Linked DNA regions of Caenorhabditis elegans. The protein of the gene in region 2 purifies or fractionates together with the protein of the main gene of each other region. This does not show direct contact. Each region holds a gene or a part of one and is shown on either strand. Other genes may lie near its edges.

Region 1 (5,724 bases), on a different chromosome or scaffold from region 2:
ATTCTTGTTTATTTACAGGTCTGTTGAAAACAAGTGTTTCTACTTTTTATGAGTCGTAGATGGGAAAGCCCCATAGCCATTACGGGCCATGAATGGGACCAAACAATTATTTCTACCATAGCATTACACCTTTTTAGTCACACTAGTATTTAAGGTGTAAATAGATACCCATTTAACAAGCATTCACAATTTGAAGTTTTTTTTTTGAAAATTTTACTGGAACCAGACCAAAAAATTATTTTGAAAAACCAACAAAAAAGTTATGTTCTGAAATTGTACCAAGTATTCATTTTAGCCTGCCAATGCATATATGATCAGGGGTGGGTGGCATTTATTTTCGGCAATTCTACAAAAAAAGTTGCATTATTTTTTCCCACATTTTTCATTAAAAAAATTAGTGCCGAACTACAGAATGTTGTTTGATTTACTTGAAAATAACATCGACGTTAGCTGAAACATTAATAAACGTGCTAAAAAAATTGCCTGAAAGATATCAATTGTGGAAATATAAAGCTGGAAAATTCGATTCATCATTTGGCAATTTCCAACCATTTTTGAAGCACTTTCAGCTAAAATGATTGTAATTATCGGATAAATTAAATGAGTTTTTACATTTTCACACTATTTTTTTACGAATAATGTTAGAACAACGTGGCGCAATATGTAATTTGATCTGGTTCTACGAAATTCAATAACATTTCGTATTGTACTGTTTTGTAATAAAAGTTTTATTAATTTTTTTTGGATGGGAAATTATTTCAACTTGATGGTATCTCTTTTAGATTTAGCTTTTTTGTTGAAACATACGAAATATTTTATTTCAAAATCGAAATACCACAAAATTGATAAAACATTTGCATTTCTTCCCGGCGTTCAGAATGCTGAAAAAATAAAAATTGCTCATTAATCTGTTTTGGACTTACTTGAGCATTGAAGACTGCAATCGTGCAGAACAGCTCGACCAGCTTGTCGTGCATATTCACATCCCCACCAAGAGCTCTCAGAGTTACAGGAACTGTGATCGAACAATGCATTGAAACATCCGGTATATTGCTCGAAGTACCTGCAGATTTTTTAAAAATTAATTATGTTGTAAATTTTTGATCATATTTCATTACATGCAGTGGTTCTTATAATCTGCCAACAAATTCTTGGCAAATGTGGCACGGCAATCGCTGATCTGAGTTTGTTTTGTGGAAAAAATGTTCGACATACAAACATCGTTGTTGGAGAATCCTTAAACATTTAAAATTTTTTGTTGCTCAAAAATTATTGAAAACCTACCTTCAAATCCAGCTCCGCACGCAAATCCGAATTGTTTGTACATTGACACCACTTGCACGGCATCTCTGAAAACTTGGTAAGATTAACAGAAATAATGAATTGTGCCAACTTACCCAAGTCGAAGACCTGCTTTCACGTGATAACTAATGCTGGTGCAGTCACGTCGTGCTGGTCCAAGACATTCATAGTACTTGTTAAAAGCGCTGAAATCAATTTTTTTCGATGGGCAAAAGACAATGTAAGTATGAAAAAACGAACTCGCAAACTTTGAACAAACCACTTATACCGTTGATGTACATGTTTTCAATTTCTTGACGGTGACATTCAGGCTCGAAAGCAAGAATTCCTCAAAAATTGATAGCTCATTCAATTAAATTGTTATAAAAGCTTTACCATAACAGTTTGACAAGCCTAGATCAGATTTGAGCTGTAGCCCGCAACACTGAAGTAAATCTGGAGTGCATGTACCTGTAGTTGAAGGAGCGCATGCACAAAAAGCTGTTGGTGCTACTGAACATGCTTAAAAGGTCAATCAATCTGGGGGTACATTTTGAACTTACTTGCCAACACCGCAATCAATACATTCAACAGCATGTCGTGGAACGGAAAAGCTAGGGAAATGTTTCATTTATGGGATTAAGAATTGCAGTCCTTATCAGTTGAAGTGATTATCAATAATCCTGTACGCTTAAAAGACATTGATTATTGCATTAAATGGGCTAAGCGGAAAAAGTATTTTCGGAACCTTGTATTTGAATTTGACGGTGAAATTTTAAAACGAATGAAAAAAAAACTAATTTTTTATTTCAAATATTGCATAATAAGTAAAACAATTTATAAAAGATACACAGTCAAAAAATAGTTTTTTTTCAATAATAATTTGCTTATAATCTGTTGTCCTACCAAAATGTTTAATATACCAAATGTTGAAAACGTCCCAAAAAAGCTATTGGCAATATTTATTTCAAAACCCTTTTTTCAAAACTTTTCATGAAGTTCCCCATCGCCACACCAATAGATTGTCATATACTATACCGATGGCATTTTCTCAGTAATAAAAATTTATTCTTATCACAAATGATAATACATAGTTAAGATTGAATGACAAAAAGTTAATAATTTGTTTGTATCTGACATCATTTCGTTTTATTCGACTCATCCGATGATTCCTCCGCTATATGGCACTGCAAAAAAACAAAATCAATTTTACTAGATTTCACAATTTTCAAGTTTCACTTACAAACACATCTAGCTGCACATTGAGGGAATCGAGTAAAAACATTGACTCTTGAGTATTCACAAGCCCAGAACATGGCATCGTTTGATTTTTCACCACAGTTGTTTTTGAACTGAGTTTCGAAGCAAATCAAGTACTTATTGGCTTGTCTGTAAGTTTGGTTGGCGTTTTTTAATAATACCCGATGGTCTTCTTACGTGCAAGCCTGATTTGCGTCAACGTCACTGTTCACCTCATAATCTAGTCGGCATTGTCTCAGGACATCACTTTGGCTTCTCCAAGTAGTTGACATACAGCCCTCATTAAGGAGGTATGCTGAAATGAAGAAAGTTACCTCGTTACGGTTGGAATCCATTAGTCTGTATAAGGCGCTATTTTTGTGTTAATCGATTTCTGATCTCTGAGCAAATTAGGAATTTATAGTAAATGCGCAGCCGACTTCGGTTGTGGTCAGCGATGGACCTATTTCCCATGTATATCATATTTTCCTGCGTCTCTTGAATGTTTTTTTTAAACCTAATATGTGCTAGTATTCATGCCTATTCTAATCATAACTCAGAAATTCCTCTAAGAGTCTCATAATGTGTATAAATTACCACAGCAGCAAGCCCCAGAAAGTTTGATTTCGACACTCCCCGTGTTTTCCACCTATTCTAGAAACTTCATACCATGCCAAAAAGATGTGTAATTGTGTACTCAACAAAATTCAATTCCGACATCGCGTCGGGAAATGACAATAAAAATTCATACTTTGCAATCCAGCTCCACAGACAAAGTGCATTTGGTTGAACAGTCCAACAAATTGATAAGCGTTGAATGGAGTGGCCGATACAGAAACAAAATGGACCGCAGACATGCAGTTCGCGTATTCAGAGCCCATGCAAACTTTAAACTCGCGGAAAGCTCTGGAATTATATTCAGGATTCGAGAGAGAGTATCTAGTGAAGTACTGACTTGCAAACTTTACGCATTCCACTGGGTCCTTGAGCCTGGTAGTTTGTCTCCACCTAAATTTAATCAATAATTGTGTTTTGCTCTTTTTTCTGATAATCAAAAAATCAGATTATAATACAATCATGATGACATAATTAATCCCATTGACTTAAAAGTTATCATCGACACGTTCTAAACCTCACATTTCACATTTCACTATGCACACCCTTCGTCATATCACCTTATTCAGTTATCATTTCATGGAATGGCAAGCGTGGAAACTATTGTATTAAAAACTTGCCTCCTTGCGGAAGTTTTCGGGGTCAAACCATGGCTGTGGGTCGCTGATGCTCAAAACCGCATTGAGAGCAGTTTGGCACTCAAAATAAACCGTCGAGTCACAGTTTAGACCGGCTGATTGGACTCCTGGAATAAAAAAATAAGATTAAAACAAATATTTCACAAGTTTTAATTTCAATTTACTTACCTGACAATCCAAGAATCAACGCAAGAAATGGCAAACACCGGTCTTGCCACATCTGAAAGCATAATGTGAGCACAAATATGTATTTTTAATTTTGCAAAAAAAAACACACACACACACAAAGTCAGAAGTATTCAATGCATTGAAGCATTTCAAACGAAAACAAATTTTTGAAATTAAAAAATTATGAATTAAATTACATAGATTTATTCCCAAAAATGTGAATTCAAATAAAACATTTTGACCAAAACAAAAAATGGAGATGATTAAACAAAAGACGATCAGACGCGTTCGTGGACTGAAAATAAAATAAACATTATTTAAACCCCATCCCATTCTGAAAACCTACATGTGCAGAAAATCTGAGAGCACTGTGGGAAGAGAAGATTGGTACCGGTACGCTCGTAGTTGCAACCCCAGTAGGCCATCTCTGGCTTCTTACAAGCGTTCCAGAACAGTTGGAAGTAGCAGTTGGCTGCGATCTCAACGTATCTAGAAAGTTAAGATTATTCATTATTCTTTTTGATTGGAAACAAAACTTGAAAACTTACGCGCAAGCTTGAGCTGGGTCAGCCATGGACTTCACGTTGAAGTCATTGTCGCACTGTCTCATTGCAGCTGTCTGGTTGTTAAAGACAGAAGAGCCGCAAACTTCAGAGTTGGCAAAGACTGAAAATTCAATTCTAGTATTCAGTATTACAGTATAATTGCTAATCTTACTCGAGAATCCAGCACCACAGACAAAATCAAGTTGGTTCCAGATTTTTACGTATCCATTAGCCTGATCCTGTGTGAGTGGGGCGCCGTTGTTGCTGAAGAACAGACAAAAACTGTTACAGTATATATTGAATTGAGAACTTACTTGGTTCCAGTTAGAAGACCGTATGGGTTCTGAGCACATGCGTAGAACTGTTCTTTTGGTTGGCTATAAATCAGTTGATTTGAGATGTAAAAATTAAAGGATCAAAGGGTGTTCCGTTTTTAAACTCCCACTAGGCTTTAGTTTCAAGCCACGAGCCATTAGTGGATTCCTCTAATTCCCAAGCTAGGTTGGGTGATCCTAGGGAAAGGCAGGACTTGAACTAGTGGTCTCATGATTGCTTGCGATCACCACACTACCGACTGAGATATTCCCGTCGCACATTGTGAATCTCACAACATTGCAAACTATGTCACTTACTAGCACTGCTTGTACTGCTTGAAGGCATCGCAAGTTGTAAGAAGCCCGTATGCTTGGTTATTGGCATACGACTGCTCAATGGCACTTCTCAAGTCTTGATATTTGGCAGCACCGAGAGAAGCTGAAACACCAAAACTTTTGTGCTTAATTCTATTTTTCAGTTTCATTACCATCAAATCCCAAAAGTTGATTGAACTGACTCTGACAAACATTTAGCTGGTTATTGATATCGCATGCCGTTAAACTTGGGTTTTGTGCCGCCACAACGCCTGAAACTTTTCATTGGTTTATTTTTTAAGGTCATGTCTCTCAGTTTTTTCCCAGAACTTCTAATAGGTTGAAAAATAATCGAGCCTGGAATGTTTGGTTTCTAAAAGTCGTATCCAGTGCCACCGTACATTTTCTTTTTGATAAGAAAATGCCCGCCGCTAGTTGTGACGCAACTAATACCAACAATCACATTAGATTTAGGAAATTACAGTAGTCTAATACTTGTGCAGATTTCATTTTGGGAACGTTCCCGATCTTGCAAAAGTTACTTAGTCATAATAGTATTTAGGCGTTACCGGGCAACACGTGGAATTTTTCGTTATCAAAACTGATGAT
Region 2 (11,147 bases):
GGCCAAGCTTACAAAGATATGTTCGGAAACTTTGTGACATGTTCCAATGGAATGGGATGTCCTGCAAATTACGAGTGTTACTTTGATGGAAGTCAATGGGGATGCTGTCCCACAAAAGCATTCACATGTTCTCTCAACACAGATTCAGGAATTCAATGTGGAGCTGGAAGCACATTCAAATACTATTACAATCCACAAACTCAGAACTGTGAATCTTTCCAGTACAATGGATGCGACGGAAATTCAAATAATTTCGCAAATCGAGACGCCTGTGAATCTTATTGTAGTGTAGGTGGATGTCCAAACGGTGGAACTCCATTACGAGATCACTCTGGAATGGTTATGGTATGTGGAGCTCAACAGACATCATGCCCAGACTCTCACGAATGTATTCCTGTCCTTGTCGGTAATTCATTGATCAATCGATGTTGTCCAACTCGTGCCTACATGTGTGGTCTTCCACCTCAGCAGGGAACACAGTGTGGAGCTAATTACGTTCAGAGATACTATTTTAATATTGTAACAAGTCAATGCACATCATTCCAATTTGGAGGATGCGATGGAAATGCAAATAACTTTTTAAATATTCAACAATGCAGAAACTTCTGTATGAGTAATGCTTGTCCAGCTGGAAATGTTGCTTATGTCGATCCAAACTCTCAAATGCCAATTAATTGTAATGAGGCACTAAGCAATAGTTGTCCATCTGGATATGCTTGTACCTTCAATCCACTTATCAATAATCATGTTTGCTGTGGAGCAACTGATTCTGGAGTTTGTCCAGAAGCCGAGAAAGCATTTATTGATACAATTGATATGTCACCAAGAGAATGTCTAATCAATATTGAACAATCTTGCCCAGCGAATTATCTTTGTAGATTCAATATGCAGAAGAATAAGTATTACTGTTGTTCAAGTATCACTGGAAGTGAGTTTAGATTTTAACTACTAAAAATTATAGATACTTTTTACGTACTCATTAAAAAAATTTTCAGAAACATGCCCCGTTGGAAAGTTCCTTTACAAAGATCTACGAACATCTCAACCAATTAGATGCACAATCGGACGAAATGATCAATGTCCCGATGGATTCACTTGTCAAAGTTATCTTGCCAACGCATTCCAAGGATTCTGTTGTACTGCAAATTCAGTTTGTCCAGATAATGCTGATTACCTTATTGATGATCAATCTCAACAACCAAGAGCTTGCACTCAAGGAACTTTTGTTTCGTGCCCCAATGGATATGCTTGCAGATCATTGACCTCATCCGCAGACGGTTTCTGCTGTAAATCTGGAACAGGAGCTCTTCCACCATCAGTTACAGATGGGTGTCCTCCAAATGAGTACGTGTATCTTGTTCAAGGAGAAATTGCTCAGTGTGATCCATTCAATCCACCGAATGCTCCATGTCCATCTGAGTTTACGTGCCAATGGTCTCTTTCCAATCAACGTTACCAATGCTGTGGTTCCAACCCTGCTCCAACCCCTCAAAGACCTTCTGATGGTTGCCCGAATGCTCAGATTGCGTTCAGAGATGCAGACGCTGTTAGAGTTTGTAGCGCTGGAGCAGCAAATTGCCCAGCTGGGTATTTCTGTCAATTCTCAAGTTCCAACAATCAATTCCAATGTTGTGGAGTTAGTGGTGGTTGTCCTGAAGAATCAGTTGCCTTTGTGGGAATGTCAGGGGAACCAGAGAAATGCGTTGTTGGGCAATCAAACTGTCCACGGGGATTCGCATGTCAAAAGTCATTAGCTGGACACCATGTCTGCTGTACAGTGAGAAAAGTTGCCTGTGAATCAAATGAAGTGATAATCGAGGGAGAATGCCATGCACAAGTTGGTCCTGGAAGTGAATGTCTTGCAAATGAGCAATGTACTGGTGGATCTGTTTGTGAAGATGCTAAATGTGAATGTAGACCACCGTTGAAGGCAGTTGGTGGATTCTGTCAAGAAGAGATTCGTGAGTTTCTTTATTTTTTATTTTTTGTTTTGAATTTTGGGCCAACTATTCAAAAATATTGTATTATCGAAAACTGTAAAAAATCTGCAATCTGCTTCCAGAATGCTCTTCCAATCAAGTACTTCATAACGGTCTGTGCCACAACAAAGCAAAACTTGGAGAAGCCTGTCTAACAGTTCGTCAGTGTCAAGAAAATTCAGGTTGTATTGAAGGGTCCTGTGAATGTAAGAAAGGATTCATTGAGAAGGCTGGAAAATGTATGACCCCGGTAGAGAAGAAATCCGCTGTATCTTCTAAGTGTGAGTTTTACAATTCTTGTCTTTCTGTGAAATTATTTTGAAAAAACAAAACAACAATGAAAATTTTGTAGCTATCAATAACGGAGTCACTTGCTCAAAACCAGGATGGAATCCACTTATCGATGAAGAACACGAGAGACCGAAACATTGTTCACCAATTGGAAAAGCTTGTCCAAATGGATATGAATGTCAGATTAATAATAGAAGAACTCAATATCTTTGTTGTGCTCCTGACATGTCAATGTCATCAACTGTTTCAATTCCTTCCTTGCCGCCTCCATCGACAACTACAACAGAAAGGATAATGACCACAAAAAAAGCGAATCTGAAAGGTAATCGATTTTTGTGATTGGAACAGTGATGCTAATTAGATGAAGAATTTATTATTTTAGTTGAAACGATAGGAAAACACTCAAAAACTGTTTGAAAGTTGATAATTTCTGGAAAATGTTATTGATACTTTTTTTGGCAACTTTCAATGACACTTTCCAACTTTTTGAAAAATTTTCCAATTGTCTGAACTAAAAAGAAATCTATCTGCGCGAGCTTTCTAAAAGTAAACATGCGCCTTAAACTCTTAAAATGTTTCAACACAAAAATACTATATTTAAGTTTGCCCAACTGGAAGAACCCCTTACCTTCTTAACGGTGCTCCACAAAAATGCACAATTTCGCGTTGTCCTGCAGGTTATGAATGTACATATAGAAATAATGGTTATCATTGTTGTTCAATGGCCAACAAGCCAGGTCTAACTGTTGCTGGAACTACCGGATCAGTTGTTTCAAAGTGTAAGATTTGAAGGAATCAAGTTCTATCATTCAATTTTGATTTTCAGCAACTCCATCTCCTGACCAAGAAAAGTGCCCACGTGGAAATCCATTGATCTATCCATCTACAAGTTCTCCTGTACTTTGTCAACCAGGAAAAAGAGGATGTCCAGTTGGCTTTGGATGTGTGCAGAGCTCGACATCCAATAATCATATTTGCTGTCCATCTCGCCATTCCGATCGACCTGGATATCAAAGTGAATCGTTCGGACTTGGAGCATATTACAGTAGAGGGCCACCAGCAGCCATCAATCCATGTGAAGGGTACTTAGTTCTTGTAACAAGAGGTGTTAATGGAAGAATTGAGAAGAGATGTGGTATGTTATCGAATATCAGTCAAGGAGAAATTATTCAGGTGATTTGTTTATAAACACAATATTTTTGAAATTTCAGAAAGAAGCTGCCCGTTCCCTCAAATCCCAATCGGAGGAGTTTGTTACGAGCTCAAGAACAAAGCAACATAATTTTTTATCACGTTATCTACTGTTCCCCGAAATCTCATTCCTCGAAATTTGAAATGTCAATTCTAATGTTCCCCCTCTCTTCGTAATGTCCACTCTTCGTGACCAGTGTGCGAGAGCAGAATGTTGATTACCTGACCCATATTTACAGTATTCCGCACCTTGTTTGCCCCCGTTTTGACACGTTGAAGGAATCGCCCTCCCCAACATGTCTCCGACTTTATCTCTTTTCTGTACCATTTATCACCACCCTATCACCACGAACTCATTTTGACATCCGGCGCGGAGCGACGCACATTTCTGTACTATTGTGTTCCTCTTTTGTCGAAATATTGTCACCTTCCTTATTAATTTACTATTAGTCACTATTCTATGATTTCAACCATTGTTTAAAATTATTATTATTAGTTTGCCATACTCCTTCACTTCCTTAATCCGTTATGGTCACTCAAGACCTTTTTCTTCTATTATTATTATTATTGCTCACTTCGTGTGCAGGTTCGTTCCACAATCACCCCCAAATTTGTTCTCATCAACCCGGCAGTTAGTCATGTGGTAGTTCGTAGGTACTATGTTACCAAATAAACTATGTTTACTTTTACATTTAAGAAAATACTCCGATTATTCATATTCATTCAGGGTGTCTTGGGATATTCCAGGAGTACTGTAGAAAATGTTTGGTAACCTAATAATAATATTTGAAAAAGTTCTCACAATCAGAATTCTGGAAAAGTATTTTGTTTAGATTTTCAGACATAAGTTCAAATAAATTCAAAAAAAAATAAGTTCACAACATTTCAGTTAAATAAATTTGAAAAAAAGTTACCAAAAGTTCAGTTAGAAAATAGAAAATAGATTAATTTTAATTCCTATAATAGTTCCTATGATGTTTTTAAAAAAATTCAGCTCAAATTGATGGGCTCCGAGACAAACGGCAAACTGGTAGCGGACGTGTTGGAGATGCTTGTGCGTTCAATACTGACTGCTTAGCTGTTAGTTTATAAAATTTTAATTTCCTAGAATGTCATGAAAATTATTTTAGGGGATGTTTTGCAATGGAGGTCTCTGCTCCTGTCTAACAACTTACATCGCAGCTGAAGGCTACTGTTACCAAAAAATAGATCCAGGACAGCCTGGATGTGTGTACAACGAGCAATGTGCATCAGTTTGGCCTGATGCATTCTGTGACACTTCTGCAGGAGTTGGAACGTGCCGATGTGGAGAGAATAAAGTTGAAAGAGCTACCAGAGATGGGCATGTTTGTTTGGATGTTCTTGATGCAAATCACAATACTCTAGCTATCACTTGTCCGCTACCAGAAGGTGCTGGTTATACATCAGCTTTATCTGATCCAAAGCATCCACGACAAAATGATGGGCCGGGACCAGTGTTGTGCAATACAGATAGTACTAATACAAATCAGGGTGACGAGCAGGTATGCCTATTTTTCCTTTGAAACCAGAAAACTCTCCCGAATAAAAACGGATCTTTCTTATATTCAGGCAGGTGACGGAAACTCAGCTTGCCTCTTCCCATCAAATGGCCAATACATTGCTGATCAATATGATTGTGTGGAGTTTGTCTCTAGTTTAGACCTTACATCCTCTGGATACAGTGAAAAAGCAAATGGTATCTGTTGCCCTAATCGTGCATTCACCTGTGTTCAACCAACTGCTACTGGACCAAATCCAACGGAACCTCGATGGTGGTACAACTCGATTACTGGAATGTGCCAACAGTTTTTATGGGATCCATCGGCTTCTGGCTCAGGAGAGCATTCACCAAACAACTTTAGAACCGTTGAGCATTGTGAAAGCTTTTGCAGAGATAGTGAGTTTAAAAAAATGTTTGTGTAGGAAACAAAATTTGATTTTCAGCGTGCTCTCGTGGAGCTCCGGAATACATCCACCGTACTTCGTTCCTCGAGCAGACTCCAATTACCGGATGCTCACAAACCAGTGCATGCTCCCATAACTATGAGTGCAAATCTGTTGGAAGTACTCAATGGTGTTGTCCTACGGTAGCTTCTGTTTGTGGTCCAGTTGGAGGCCGTCCACTCGATCCTTCCGTTAATAATCGCGGTACCGTTTATCATTCTGGTGTCGAAAAGCAAGGAACAGCTACATCGACAAGATTTTTCTATGATCCACAATCCGGAAAATGCAGTCCATTCACATATTTGGGAGCTGGTGGTAACTATAACAATTTCCTATCAAGAATTGATTGTGAACTTTATTGTGCAAGATGTGAGTTTTTTTCCAATTAACTGTCATGAAAGGAATATTAATTTTAGTACAATGTGATCGTGGAAACCCACTTCGAATCGGTGACGTCACTCAATCATGTGCATCTAATAATGACTGTCCATCATCTCACGAATGTAAAATGGATCAAGCTGTTTGCTGCCCAAGAATGCGTAAGATCCTGCAAACTACCACAGAGTGAGCAAGATAATTTTTCAGAAACAATCTGTACTCAACCACTTCGGGTTGGAAACTGTGATAGATCGGTAAGAAGGTATTGGTATTCAGCGGCAACAAGAGAATGTCAATCATTTGAATACACCGGATGCCAAGGAAATGACAATAACTTTGAAACTCTGGTTGATTGTCAGACATTCTGCAGAAATGCTGCACGTAAGCCTAGAATATTCGTCTGAATGATCTTTAAAATTATATTTCTAGCGGAGCCACGATGCCCTCAAGGCCAAGCATACAAGGATAACCAAGGAAAGTTTGTAACCTGCACTACGAATCGTCAATCTTCATCCTGCCCAGCAAACTTTGAGTGTTATTTTGATGGAAACATGCATGGATGCTGCCCCACCAAGGCATTCACTTGCTCCCTCTCTCCAAGTCCTGGAAAAACTTGTGGACCAGGTGTTTCTTTCAAATATCACTATAACCCACAGACGCAAGAGTGTGAATCCTTCGAATATCTTGGATGTGACGGAAATTCCAACACCTTTGCAAGTCGTGCAGAATGTGAAAATTACTGTGGCGTTGGTGGATGTGCAAACGGGGGAAGTCCACTGAGAGATAGTAATGGAGCACTGCAATCGTGTTCTGAAAGAGATGGTGGATGCCCATCTTCTCATGAATGCTATGGCGTCAGTTTGGGACCAGATATGATGTCCTACAGATGTTGTCCAACTAAAAGTAAGTTCAAAAAATAAATGATGCAGTGGGGGCCAAAAGCTTATGGGTTTTTGGGGTTTCGCTAATTTCTAACAATTTTCAAATGAGCATAACTCAAAAACTAGAAAAGTTAATCAGAAAAAATCAACTAATATGTTGCCGATGATTTTGTGTACAAGCAAGATTACATTTTACAACTTCACAATTTCAAAAAATACGGCGGCCGACAATTTGCAAGTCCAACCTGTAGACAACATTTTAAGTTACATTCTTTTAGTTGAACATATATTTCTGAAGTTCTTACTCATTTACAACATTTCAAAAACATGCAAAAAACCACAAACTTTCGCCCATCACTATAACTATTTTCATCTTAAATGTTCAGCCTACATCTGCGGTCTTCCACCTCAACAAGGATCCTCATTATGTTCTGGAGGGCTCACCGTTGTCACAAGATACTATTTCAATATTGTCACACGTAAATGCTCTCCATTCGTTTATAATGGTTGTGATGGCAATCCGAACAACTTTGCTTCCCTGAATCAATGTAACAACTTCTGCATGGCATCTGCTTGTAATGCTGGAGATGTTGTATATTTGAATCCAAACACAGCTCTTCCAATTTCATGCAATGACGAACTTCAGAACAATTGTCCAAAAAGTTTTCAATGTATTTATGACAGTTTGACAGATCAGAGTGTTTGTTGTGGAGCAACTGATATGGGAGTTTGTCCAGACAATGAGAAGGTTAGAATGAAACGCTTCTGTCTAATTTTAACGCTATGTTTTCAGGCTTACATAAATTCAATGGATGGAACAGTTCGAGAATGTTTGATCAATGAGCACAACTCTTGTCCGAAAGATTATTTGTGCAGATTCAATGCCATTAAAAATCGATATTTCTGCTGCGGATCAATGAGCAAAGCTAGTAAGTCAAGAATTATGAGAGTTATAAAAAATGTCGACGAATCCTTCAGATTACTGTCCGACGGGACGTGCCCCATTCAAAGACCAAACAAGTCTTCAGCCGACCAGATGCACAATGCATGCTGCCACGTCATCTTGTCCAGACGGCTTCGAATGTTTGAGTGATCTCAAGGATGCTCTTCAGGGATACTGCTGCTCTGTCTCTGAAATTTGTCCGCATCGTGAAGAATACTTTATTGATGAAACTTCTGGAATGCCACGTTCGTGTACTATCGGACATTTTGTCACTTGCCCTGCTGGATTCCAGTGTATGGCGCAGATTGATGGATCAATGGGATATTGTTGCAAGTGAGTTAGCACCAGTTTAGTAAAAATACATTTGTAATAATTCAAGATAGGCTAAAAGTCATTCTAGAACGCTACAAAAGTGTTTTGGTTTTGAAAAGGTCAGGTAAAGTTTTGGTGAAAAGCTTTACTGTTTTATGAACATTTGACGAAAGACTATAGCATCAAAAAATTTTAATAATGTTCCCACATAATATATACAAACCAAGTTTTTCTTGTTTATTTTCAAATGGTATTCTGATATGAAAAATGTCTTCAGAGGTCAACCCCAATTGACAGCTTCTGATGGTTGCCCACCTGGAGAAATAGTTTATATGGAGAGAAATGAAGTTGCAACATGTGATCCATTCAATCCTCATAATCAAGGATGTCCTGGAACATTCTCATGTCAATGGTCCATTAGAACTCAAAGATATCAATGTTGTGGAAGTGATCCATTGCCAACTCCCATGGAGAGTAAGTGTATTCCTTGATATAAAAATTTAAAGTTCTTATATTTTATTAGATGACGGTTGCCCAACTCGCCAGATTGCATACACCGACCCAGACACTAAAAAACCAAAAATATGTACATCTGCAAGTTTATCGTGCCCAGCTGGATATTTCTGTCAATTCTCGAATCAAAACAAACAATTCCAATGTTGTGGAATGCCAAGCGACTGTCCAGTACAAATGGTTGCATTTATTGGAATAACTGGAGAAGCCCAAGCGTGTTCAATGAACGGAGGAAGTGCCTGTCCTGATGGATTCTCGTGTGTTCGTGGAAAGAGTGGAGCTGAGTTATGTTGTGCTGGTGGAGAAAGTTAGTTCCCGAAAATAATTAGGCAGTTGTACAGTTTGAATTTATATTTCAGCATGCGAAGCTTCCCAAGTCCCTGTGAATGGAGTGTGTCTGAATAGAGTTTTAATTGGAGAACAGTGTGAAGAAACACCTCAATGTGTTGGTGAATCACATTGCATCGCAATGAAATGTTCATGTCCAACTGGAACAATTGAACAGAAGCAACAGTGTATGGATGTCTCAATTGAACGGGAAATAAGTGAGTTAACACTCAGAAATACAATGCGAAACTAATCAGCAAGTTTACAGAATGCACTGATAAACAAGTTAAAGTAGAAGACGAATGTTTCCCGTTGGTAACACTTGGAAGAAGTTGTGTACATTCTGCTCAATGTCAGGGAATGGGTCAATGTATTGATGGAGTATGTGATTGTGACGAGTCATCAGTTAGAAAAGGCCATCGTTGCGATAAGAAACAATCTGTGAGACCTTCTCTACCAATGAATGTTAACAAGTTTGCAACGGGTTCTCCTCATGTCATGAAACAGATTCAACCTCCGATGTCTTCTACATCATCAGCAGTCATCACGACAACAAGTTCCAATTGGCAGCCACAACCTGGTCATGCTGAAATCATGAATGAAGGTATCTGCCCAGCACCGAGACAACCTTACCTGGCAAATGGAATCGCAAGGCAATGCATCAGTGGACAACCATGTCCAGTTGGGTATTCATGTACTTGGAGTCCACAAGCGAAAAATTATTTCTGTTGTGCAGCAAACAAACTAGTCATGAGGACCTATGGTAAGCTAAGATCATCGGAATCTGCGGAAGCATCTTTAATATTTGCCCGCTATAATATGCCCGCTTAAATCTTAAGCTTTCAGGGATAAAACCTTCAGGGATAAAAGATATGAACAAATATTTTTCAGTTCTCAAGGACGTTTGTGACGGTGGTGAAGCTTTGTTGTTCCCGGCAACAAAAGCACCAGTGATTTGTACTCGATATGCAACATGCCCTCCAGGATATTTCTGTAGAAGGTCGCCAAAAACAAAACAGACACATTGTTGCAAAAAACGACAACCTTTGAATATGCAGAGCTATATTATTCAGGTAACTATTCATTCCTTCATCTAGAGAGCCTTCACTAAACATTTCAGATAAAAGATATCACATCTAAAAGACCTGAACCTCTCCGAATGGCTCATTCGATAGCATCAGCAGCCGTTCAGATGGCTTCACAATATATGCACCCAGGACGAAGGCGTCAAAAACCACAGCCAGTTCAGAAAACCAAGCCAGTGAAAAACGTGAAGCCAACGAAAACCACACTTCCCTGCCCACCAAATCAAGTGCTTCTAGAGATGGAAGTGAATCGAAAAATAATCAAACGTTGTCGTAAGTTCAATTTCCAAAAAGAAAGATCGAAAGTTATATAGCGTGTAAATGTTATTGCAGAAGCCACGTGTCCTGTCTCAATGCGTTCGGTCAACGGAGTGTGCAAAATCGAGCGTCGACCACCAGTAGTCACCCAATAACTTTTTCATTCATTTCCCGTGCCAATCGTCTTTCATAAGTATTCTTTCTCTCTATATGAGTAACCGAATGATCGTCAAAAAGCTTTTAATTTGAAAAGCCATCCAGTTGCTCTATTTTTCACATCTTTCTCATTGTTGTTGCGCCACTTTTTAGAAATTTTTGGTGGTGGAGAGACGCTCATTTGTTTTCAACGAACCACAATATGTGGTCACAAAAATCAAAATAAATAAGTTTATTAAATTTGTTTGAATATTGAAATTCAATTGAGAAATATATTTTATGTTAAAATTTTCAATTTTCGGAGATTGTTGCATCGTAATTTATCAGAAGGAAGTTTAGAAGACACATAAAAGATACAATAATCTCAAGATATTTAAAAGAATACAAATTTGATACAAAATGTTAAAATTTAAATTATTCGGTGAGAGAGAGATTCAGAATAAAATATATGCGAGTTAACAGGATTTTATACGTCTGGAAGTGCAACTTTGGCTGGTTGTGCTGGAATCGGAGATACACCACGCTCCACAATTTCATTGTATGATGGTGGCTCGTCACGATACGTGCTGAAATTTGCTAAATGAGTATATGTTTCAAAAATATTTGAAACTTTTTCAAGTTAGGTGGATTTAGGGATTGAGTTTGAGATATATAAAAACACATTAAAAGAACATACCTGATTCCATTATCAGTGATAAAGAACGGGCTTGTTGGTACAGTAAGTGAATTTCGATAAATCATTGGTGGAATTACCATTGTAACATCAACAATCGGAGAAGGCTGGAAAAATGTGGAAATTACTATAATTGACCCTATTCATACAAAATGCATTAGCCTATTCAATATAATCTAAACCAACATGTCATTT
Region 3 (6,587 bases), on a different chromosome or scaffold from region 2:
CCGCTGTGAGTGCGCAATGAAATGCTAAAGGTAGTTATTTGGAGCGGCCGACACGCTCGGGTTCCGCAGCTTGGCGTGAAATGAGTAGCTTGGTGTGTGCGAAGAAACAGTTTTTTGGAAGCGGCCGGCGTGTTCGGGGACCGCGCGGTACTATGCATTCGAATACATGCGGCTTGAGTGACGCCGTGAAGCCGGCAGAGGCACCGTTGCGGCGATCTCAAGGGAGACCTACATTGAATAATAACGAAAAAAATTGGTTTAACAGTTTTTCAAAGTTGAAGGAAGAAAGCTCTTAGTAACTCAGTAGGTACCTAGGTAAAGCCTTACATTTTTTCTATAGGAATCAGAATTTAAACAAGGGAAGAAACTATATAAAAGATACATAGGTCCAGTTGCTAAAATTTTTTAATGCAGCAGAAAAAATCGGTTTGATTAAATTTTGATTTTCTAAAATTTGGTAAATTAGTGTTTCAATAATGTTTTGAAAGATGATCGCGGTTTATGGGCATCGTGATCAGACGATTTACCAAACTTGAAAACCGCATGCGAATGAAACTTTACGGCGTTTGGAAATCATATCTAACCCACCGACATTCTTCTTGATTCTTGATCTGCAAATTTTCAGTCAACCCCTACGATCTCCCTACCGTCAAACCGCAAAGTTCAAACGTGTATGGACCAAGGAAACCGCAGTTCGTCGAAAATCAATAATCATCGAAGAAGTAGCACCATCGTCCAGTCGAATTGCTAGATTATGGCTAGTTCCGTGTATTTTTCTTTTACATTCCATCTTTGCCATTTTCCCATGAACAACTTTCAACTTTCAATCAATTGGTTTGCGACAACTGCAATTTTTCCATTTTATCGGAAAAATTCAGCCACACAGTTATCTAGAGGCAAACATATTAAAAAATTAGAGAAAAAGAGACAAGAAAGAGAGAAAAAAGAGAGAAGTCATAGAAATATTGAAATTAAAAACGCAAGATCACTAAAAAGTGTGTAAGCTATTTTCTTACAGAAAAGGGGGAGGGAGACAAGTTGAGTATTAAATCAGCGAGGGTTCCTGTTTAGATCTTTCCCAGGAAAGCGGTGGCCATGGAGGTTCCAAGTTTAGCTGGAGAGTCGGTAACCTGAAACAAATTATGGCATTTTTTTAGCAACCAAGTTTAATTTTTCAAAATATCTTTAAAAACCTGCTGACTTTTCAAGTTAAATTCTAAGGTAAATCGTCATGAACAAGGTGTAACTTCATAAATGTTCTAGATTATTTTGACAACTTTTGCAACAGAACACTGTATATCCCAAGCTTCAAAGTGCAGCTTTAAATTTTATTCTGGAAAAACGTAAAAACTTACTACTACTCCGGCTTCTCTAAGAGCATTGATCTTGTCAGCAGCGGTTCCCTTTCCTCCCGAAATGATGGCTCCGGCGTGTCCCATTCTTCTGCCTGGTGGAGCTGTGACTCCGGCAATGAATGAGACGACTGGCTTCCTGTTGGCTCCCGAGTTGTGCTCCTTAAGGTATGCGGCGGCCTCCTCTTCAGCTGATCCTCCGATTTCTCCGATGAGAATGATTCCTGGAAAATAATTGGTTTCATATTCTTTTTTTTTTTAATTTTTACTGGCTACTCTGGGTACTGATAAATACAAAATCACATTGTTTGAGTTCACATTAGGGTATTATTTTCATGAAACATGAGCTCACCCTTAGTTTCTGGATCCTCAAGGAAGACGTTCAAGCAGTCGATGAAGTTTGTTCCATTGAATGGATCGCCTCCAATTCCGACGCACAAAGTCTGTCCGAATCCGACTTGAGTAGTCTGGTGCACAGCTTCATAGGTGAGAGTTCCTGAGCGGGAGACGATTCCGATGCATCCCTACAAGTTCAGCAAACAGTTTTGATAAAATTTTTAATTGATAATTTCTGAACATGTTTTCGAAGTTCAACTTCACTTGAGAAGGATTTTAAAGGGTTCTACAACAATATTTATAACTTACTCTCTTGTGAATGTGTCCTGGCATGATTCCGATCTTGCACTGATCGGCCGAGATGATTCCTGGACAGTTTGGCCCAACAAGTCTTGTCTTGTTCTGCTTGAGAAGACGCGACTTAACACGGACCATATCGTGTTGTGGGATTCCTTCAGTGATGCACACCACCAATGGAATCTCGGCGTCCATGGCTTCCTCGATGGCGCTACCGGCAGCACTGGCTGGAACGTAGATGACAGAGGCGTCGGCTCCGGTCTTGTTGCGAGCTTCGGAGACGTTCTTGAAGACCGGGAGTCCCAAGTGCTCTGTTCCGGCCTTGTTGGCATTTACTCCACCGACGACTTTAGTGTTGTACTCGAGCATTTGCTTTCCATGGAAGGTACCCTGAAATTTTTGTGAATTTTTTTTTTGAAATACATATTTTCGATATTTTAAGAGTTCGCTATGCGCAAAGTATTGACGTCAAAAGCATATCTGAATACATTAAAATTTTATAGCCGTTGAACTTTGAAAACACTGAATTTAAAGTGAGTTGCGAAGACAGGCGTTTTCATTTTAAGATGTAATTTTTTATGAAGCTGAGTTGTGACCTCTATTTTGCATAAAGCGTATTGTCAGTGTTTGAGTTTATATTATCGCTCCAGAAGCTCCCACGCCATTCATAAATTTATTCGGGTATACCTGCTTTCCTGTGAATCCTTGCACAATAACCTTGGTGTCCTTGTTGATTTTCAGGTTGTTGTAAGTGCTGTTGTAGAAACGAGCAGCTCCTGGAAATACAAATAAGGTGATTTAAATGAAATAGGCAAACATACCCTTCTGCAAAGTTCTAGCATTGTTGGCAATTTGCTGACTCAACATGGTTCCCTGAAAGAAAGATATTATTCAATTGCCGTAAAATTTAAGATGAACGGTGCAATCGAGAAGATGCAATGAAAATGTGAAAAGCTTATTTTCAATAAAAAAAGATAGATTAAAGTAGTTGTATCATCAAAAATAAGATTTATCAAAAACAAAAATAAAACCAACAAAAAAAATAGATTCCTTGATATCTAAACAACTAACTCTTGTGTTACACAAAACAAAAGGGTAGAGAGTGAGTATCGCGTGAGAGGCAGCAGAGAAAACAAGGACGTACGCAGCCAATTGGTTGGCTGAGTATCAAACGATTAGACACTGCCCAACGCTGCCCCGTCCGTTCTCGCTCTCTTCCAACGTGCCTGCACACGTTGTGCGGCGGCCGGGAGAGTGTGAGTGGTGCGGTTGCACAAGTTGGAAACCAAGTCGGCGAAAGACAATCGAGTAGTTTTTTTTTTGGCAGTTATCACAGTGGATGAGGAAGTGGACATTTGAGAAAAGTGTTTGGGGCAAGTGGACTTTTAATTATCATTATTTATAGAAATTTGTGGAGTGCGAAGTGGTCCCTCATTTTATGAAATTTTTTTCAGTATAACTACAAAAATTAATTGATCACTCTTTGTCCAGGGAAGGAATTCACTGTTAAATCACAGACAAAACCAAATCACAGCTTTGAATCTGTAATCAATTTTAGAAATCAACATTGGTTTTCCAGCTTCATTTTTCTATTGCTGTAGTAGTCTCAAGACAGACCGACTTAGTTACATAGTGACCGTTCTCGTAATTATTTAAAACAATCTAAGGGCGTTTGAAGTTGAATATCTCTGGTCCAACCGTTTACCAAACTGTCAATATTTATTGCATACTTTTGTTGCTTCAAAATTGATAAACATATATTTTTAGTCTATAAGTTCACTCATTTATTAAAATACGCTAGTCAATAAGAACATGTGGAATTAACTACTTGTTTACACAGTCTTAAAAATACTGAGAATTCAAAAATTAAAAAAAAACAACATTTTTGAATACCTATGGAGAAGCCGTACCCCAAAAATTTTAATCATTTCAAAAAATTCAGATGTGGTTTTATAAGCCTACGACTTCAATTTAACCTCAAATTTTAATAAATTACAATTTGAATTAGAAATAAGTTGGACATTAATTTTTTAGGTATGCTTGGTCTTAAAATATTAACTTTAAAAATAACGATTCAAATATTCAAATCTTTTTTGTCTGATATCAAAAAAAACCTGTTAACTAACTGAAAAAATTAGGTAGCTTGTTAGAAAAAAAAGAAAACTGTTCTTCGGTTTTCGTTTCTGCAAAATGATAAAAATTGAGTAATCAACTTTCTCGAACATTTTATCTATCAATGATCAAATACGAACTTCAACAATAGTTTTCAAATTACAAAAAAAATATGCATAGAGAAAAGGGAATATCTAAAACTAACATTTCTGTCAGCAAAATTGACTTTATTTTTATTTTTCTATCACCCAATCATTCGTTTCACGTGCGCACAATCGCTCTTGGAGATTATGCTCAAAGCTTACAAATAATTTATAGTTTTCCCTCCTCTCAACGGTTTGGTCAACTTTCTTGAAAGTTGTCTCGTGTCTTGCAGTGAAAACGTTTTTTTTCCAGTTTTTCGCTGTTTTTTTTTCTCCCGTCGTCCTCTCGTCTTCTTCTTTCCCAGCAATTTATTGATTTGTGGCGGTGGTGTGCTCCCGAGCCTCCCGAATCCGCACATTATCATTCAAATCCGCTGTCCGTTTGCCCGGATGTCATCCGCGGATAAACTGCGATAATCTTTCGCGGGAAGCCATACTTATGCATCGGAAATGGCAGTTTTGACTAGCGAGCTCCATTTTCCATTCTCAACCGACACGAATGTTACTAATGTGCTCATTGCGCTTGTTTAAAATTCATTAGTTGCTCCTGCCCCTGCTTCTGCTCTGAGAAAGTACCTTCTTTCCTCGTTTCTTTTTTTTTCAGCGCGTGTTTCTAGAAGGTTTTCTTACAGAGTCACAGAATGTTAACTGGCTACACTACAGAAGAGTATATTCAAATTGGATTTACTATCCTGGTAAGCAAAACACCATTGAAGTAGTTGTAATATAATTCAATTATTCAGTGTGGAGCATTGATTGGGTGGCTAATCAATCGTTTTTACTTTAAAGGGCGCGTGGAAGATTCGAAAAGCAATCTGAAAAATGATGAGCAGTTTTCTGGAAAAATGAATACGGTAAGTTGTTTACAATTAAAAAAATTTTGCATGTTTTAAACTCCAACCTTTTCAATAAATAACACTAAAATCCGTGCTAAAATACTCAAGGAAATAGTAGCTGAGCAACCTAACAATTATAATAATATCATATTTTGCAGGCAAACATCAAGAAAAATCGTGTGATCTTTAGCCCAGAAGTTTGCGAAAATGGTATGAATTTTAGTTTTTTTTTCAGAAAAAATGTTCATTTTCAGACCCACCAAAGGAAAGGGCTTCAAACTCTGAAAAGGACAACAGTGAGGAAAAAACTGAGAGTGAATCAGAAACTGATGAGCAAGATGAAGATGAAGAAGAGGAGCAGATGCCACAGTTTAATAACCGAAAAATTACAAATACTCAGAACTTTTGTCCAGATGAACCGTCAACGTCTCAGGAAAATGTGAGCACAACATTTTTCGGCCAAAGTCTAAAATTGTATTTTCAGCCTTTTGCCAAAGAGCTTTCCGATGCTGACAAGATGAATGTAACAATTGGAAAGCTCCACGGAAAGCTTGCCACTGCTCAATTAAAGGCGAAAACCCGTCAAATCGCCGCAGAAATGAGTAACGAGGAGAAAGAATATGTGAGAAAAATCCTCTTTTTTTAAAACATGAACCACTTAACTTTTAGGAAGCAAAAATGAAAAACAACCAAATGGAATCAATCATGAGACTGATGATGCAAAACCAGGAAAAGTTCGGCATGAGCAGTGACGACATCAAAGAGCAAATGAATCTCTACAACTTTTAAGAACATAATCTTTTAATTATTTTTTATTTGCTACTTTCGTATTGTAAAACAATTCATGTCAGCAAACTTTTACCAAAAACTCACAATCCACTTCATTCCATAATTGATATTTGTCCCATGATCATCATCGCATAACTTCCATGTACAAAAAAAATAAATACTGTTGAATCAACTGTGAAAAATAAATTACACAAAAAAATAAAGTTATTTCTGAAACATTTAAAAAATTGTATTTTTTTTAATAAATAGTTTTTGAGAATTCATAAGATTTGTGAAAGCTTCAAAGGACTTGCTAATGTCAAATTCAAAACCTAATTTTTTCTTTAATGTGCCCTTTTAATAAGTTCTTGGCAATGCTTTTTGGCAGTTTGAAACCTCAAACTTTGCCAGCTCTTTTGTGGCATAGCGGCCGGAAATTAGTTTTCTCTAGTTATCTATCGACAAAAAATATATCTGAATCACAGAACCTACAACACTAAAAAGATTGCGCCATTAGAAGTTCTAGATTCTAGTTGGCCACATTTTAAAAGTTCTTTTCACAAAATTCGATATTTTGAGACAATTTACACACCAGAAAAAAATTGTAAAATGTTCATATAGCAATTTTTACATAACTTTTCACAATCTTCATATATTTATTCACATGTTAGACCCATTATAAAAATTTCAACTAGTTTGACGACGACGCATTTGGACGAGTTGGTGGACGGCGGTTTGAAGGA

The links.
Region 1: the proteins of ZC84.6 (region 2) and nspg-12 fractionate together in Caenorhabditis elegans (co-fractionation; one large-scale study listed by BioGRID). This does not show direct contact.
Region 3: the proteins of ZC84.6 (region 2) and sucl-1 fractionate together in Caenorhabditis elegans (co-fractionation; one large-scale study listed by BioGRID). This does not show direct contact.

Annotation. Positions count from the first base shown.
Region 1 is NC_003284.9:5,253,463-5,259,186, reverse strand, and holds nspg-12 (DUF19 domain-containing protein), read right to left. Parts: upstream 1,889-5,724; 5' UTR 1,879-1,888; coding exon 1,845-1,878; intron 1,795-1,844; coding exon 1,678-1,794; intron 1,631-1,677; coding exon 1,543-1,630; intron 1,488-1,542; coding exon 1,398-1,487; intron 1,350-1,397; coding exon 1,285-1,349; intron 1,237-1,284; coding exon 1,119-1,236; intron 1,064-1,118; coding exon 924-1,063; intron 882-923; coding exon 874-881; 3' UTR 803-873; downstream 1-802. Other genes in the region: nspg-13 (DUF19 domain-containing protein), read right to left, coding at 2,440-2,468, 2,525-2,670, 2,719-2,836, 3,272-3,426, 3,476-3,528, 3,756-3,880, 3,942-3,993; nspg-14 (DUF19 domain-containing protein), read right to left, coding at 4,220-4,236, 4,288-4,430, 4,490-4,607, 4,659-4,750, 4,801-4,863, 5,119-5,239, 5,289-5,387.
Region 2 is NC_003281.10:9,192,350-9,203,496, reverse strand, and holds ZC84.6 (BPTI/Kunitz inhibitor domain-containing protein), read left to right. Parts: upstream 1-3,791; 5' UTR 3,792-3,989; coding exon 3,990-4,047; exon of another isoform or gene 4,048-4,139; intron 4,140-4,455; coding exon 4,456-4,541; intron 4,542-4,591; coding exon 4,592-4,984; intron 4,985-5,051; coding exon 5,052-5,379; intron 5,380-5,426; coding exon 5,427-5,795; intron 5,796-5,842; coding exon 5,843-5,965; intron 5,966-6,011; coding exon 6,012-6,185; intron 6,186-6,233; coding exon 6,234-6,707; intron 6,708-7,071; coding exon 7,072-7,433; intron 7,434-7,478; coding exon 7,479-7,614; intron 7,615-7,663; coding exon 7,664-7,961; intron 7,962-8,217; coding exon 8,218-8,414; intron 8,415-8,463; coding exon 8,464-8,760; intron 8,761-8,812; coding exon 8,813-8,998; intron 8,999-9,048; coding exon 9,049-9,543; intron 9,544-9,565; exon of another isoform or gene 9,566-9,646; intron 9,647-9,671; coding exon 9,672-9,853; intron 9,854-9,900; coding exon 9,901-10,138; intron 10,139-10,198; coding exon 10,199-10,278; and 2 more. Other genes in the region: ZC84.1 (uncharacterized protein), read left to right, coding at 1-928, 996-1,961, 2,063-2,260, 2,332-2,592, 2,873-3,049, 3,097-3,405, 3,482-3,552; ZC84.7 (uncharacterized protein), read right to left, coding at 10,746-10,845, 10,956-11,059.
Region 3 is NC_003284.9:14,750,297-14,756,883, reverse strand, and holds sucl-1 (Succinate--CoA ligase [ADP/GDP-forming] subunit alpha, mitochondrial), read right to left. Parts: upstream 2,859-6,587; 5' UTR 2,853-2,858; coding exon 2,807-2,852; intron 2,762-2,806; coding exon 2,673-2,761; intron 2,376-2,672; coding exon 1,998-2,375; intron 1,877-1,997; coding exon 1,705-1,876; intron 1,577-1,704; coding exon 1,356-1,576; intron 1,131-1,355; coding exon 1,068-1,130; 3' UTR 810-1,067; downstream 1-809. Other genes in the region: C05G5.5 (Metalloprotease TIKI homolog), read left to right, coding at 626-809; C05G5.3 (Matrix-remodeling-associated protein 7 helical domain-containing protein), read left to right, coding at 4,882-4,935, 4,984-5,094, 5,235-5,286, 5,331-5,515, 5,561-5,698, 5,746-5,865; wshc-2 (WASH complex subunit FAM21), read right to left, coding at 6,536-6,587. UniProt on the Caenorhabditis elegans protein: Succinyl-CoA synthetase functions in the citric acid cycle (TCA), coupling the hydrolysis of succinyl-CoA to the synthesis of either ATP or GTP and thus represents the only step of substrate-level phosphorylation in the TCA.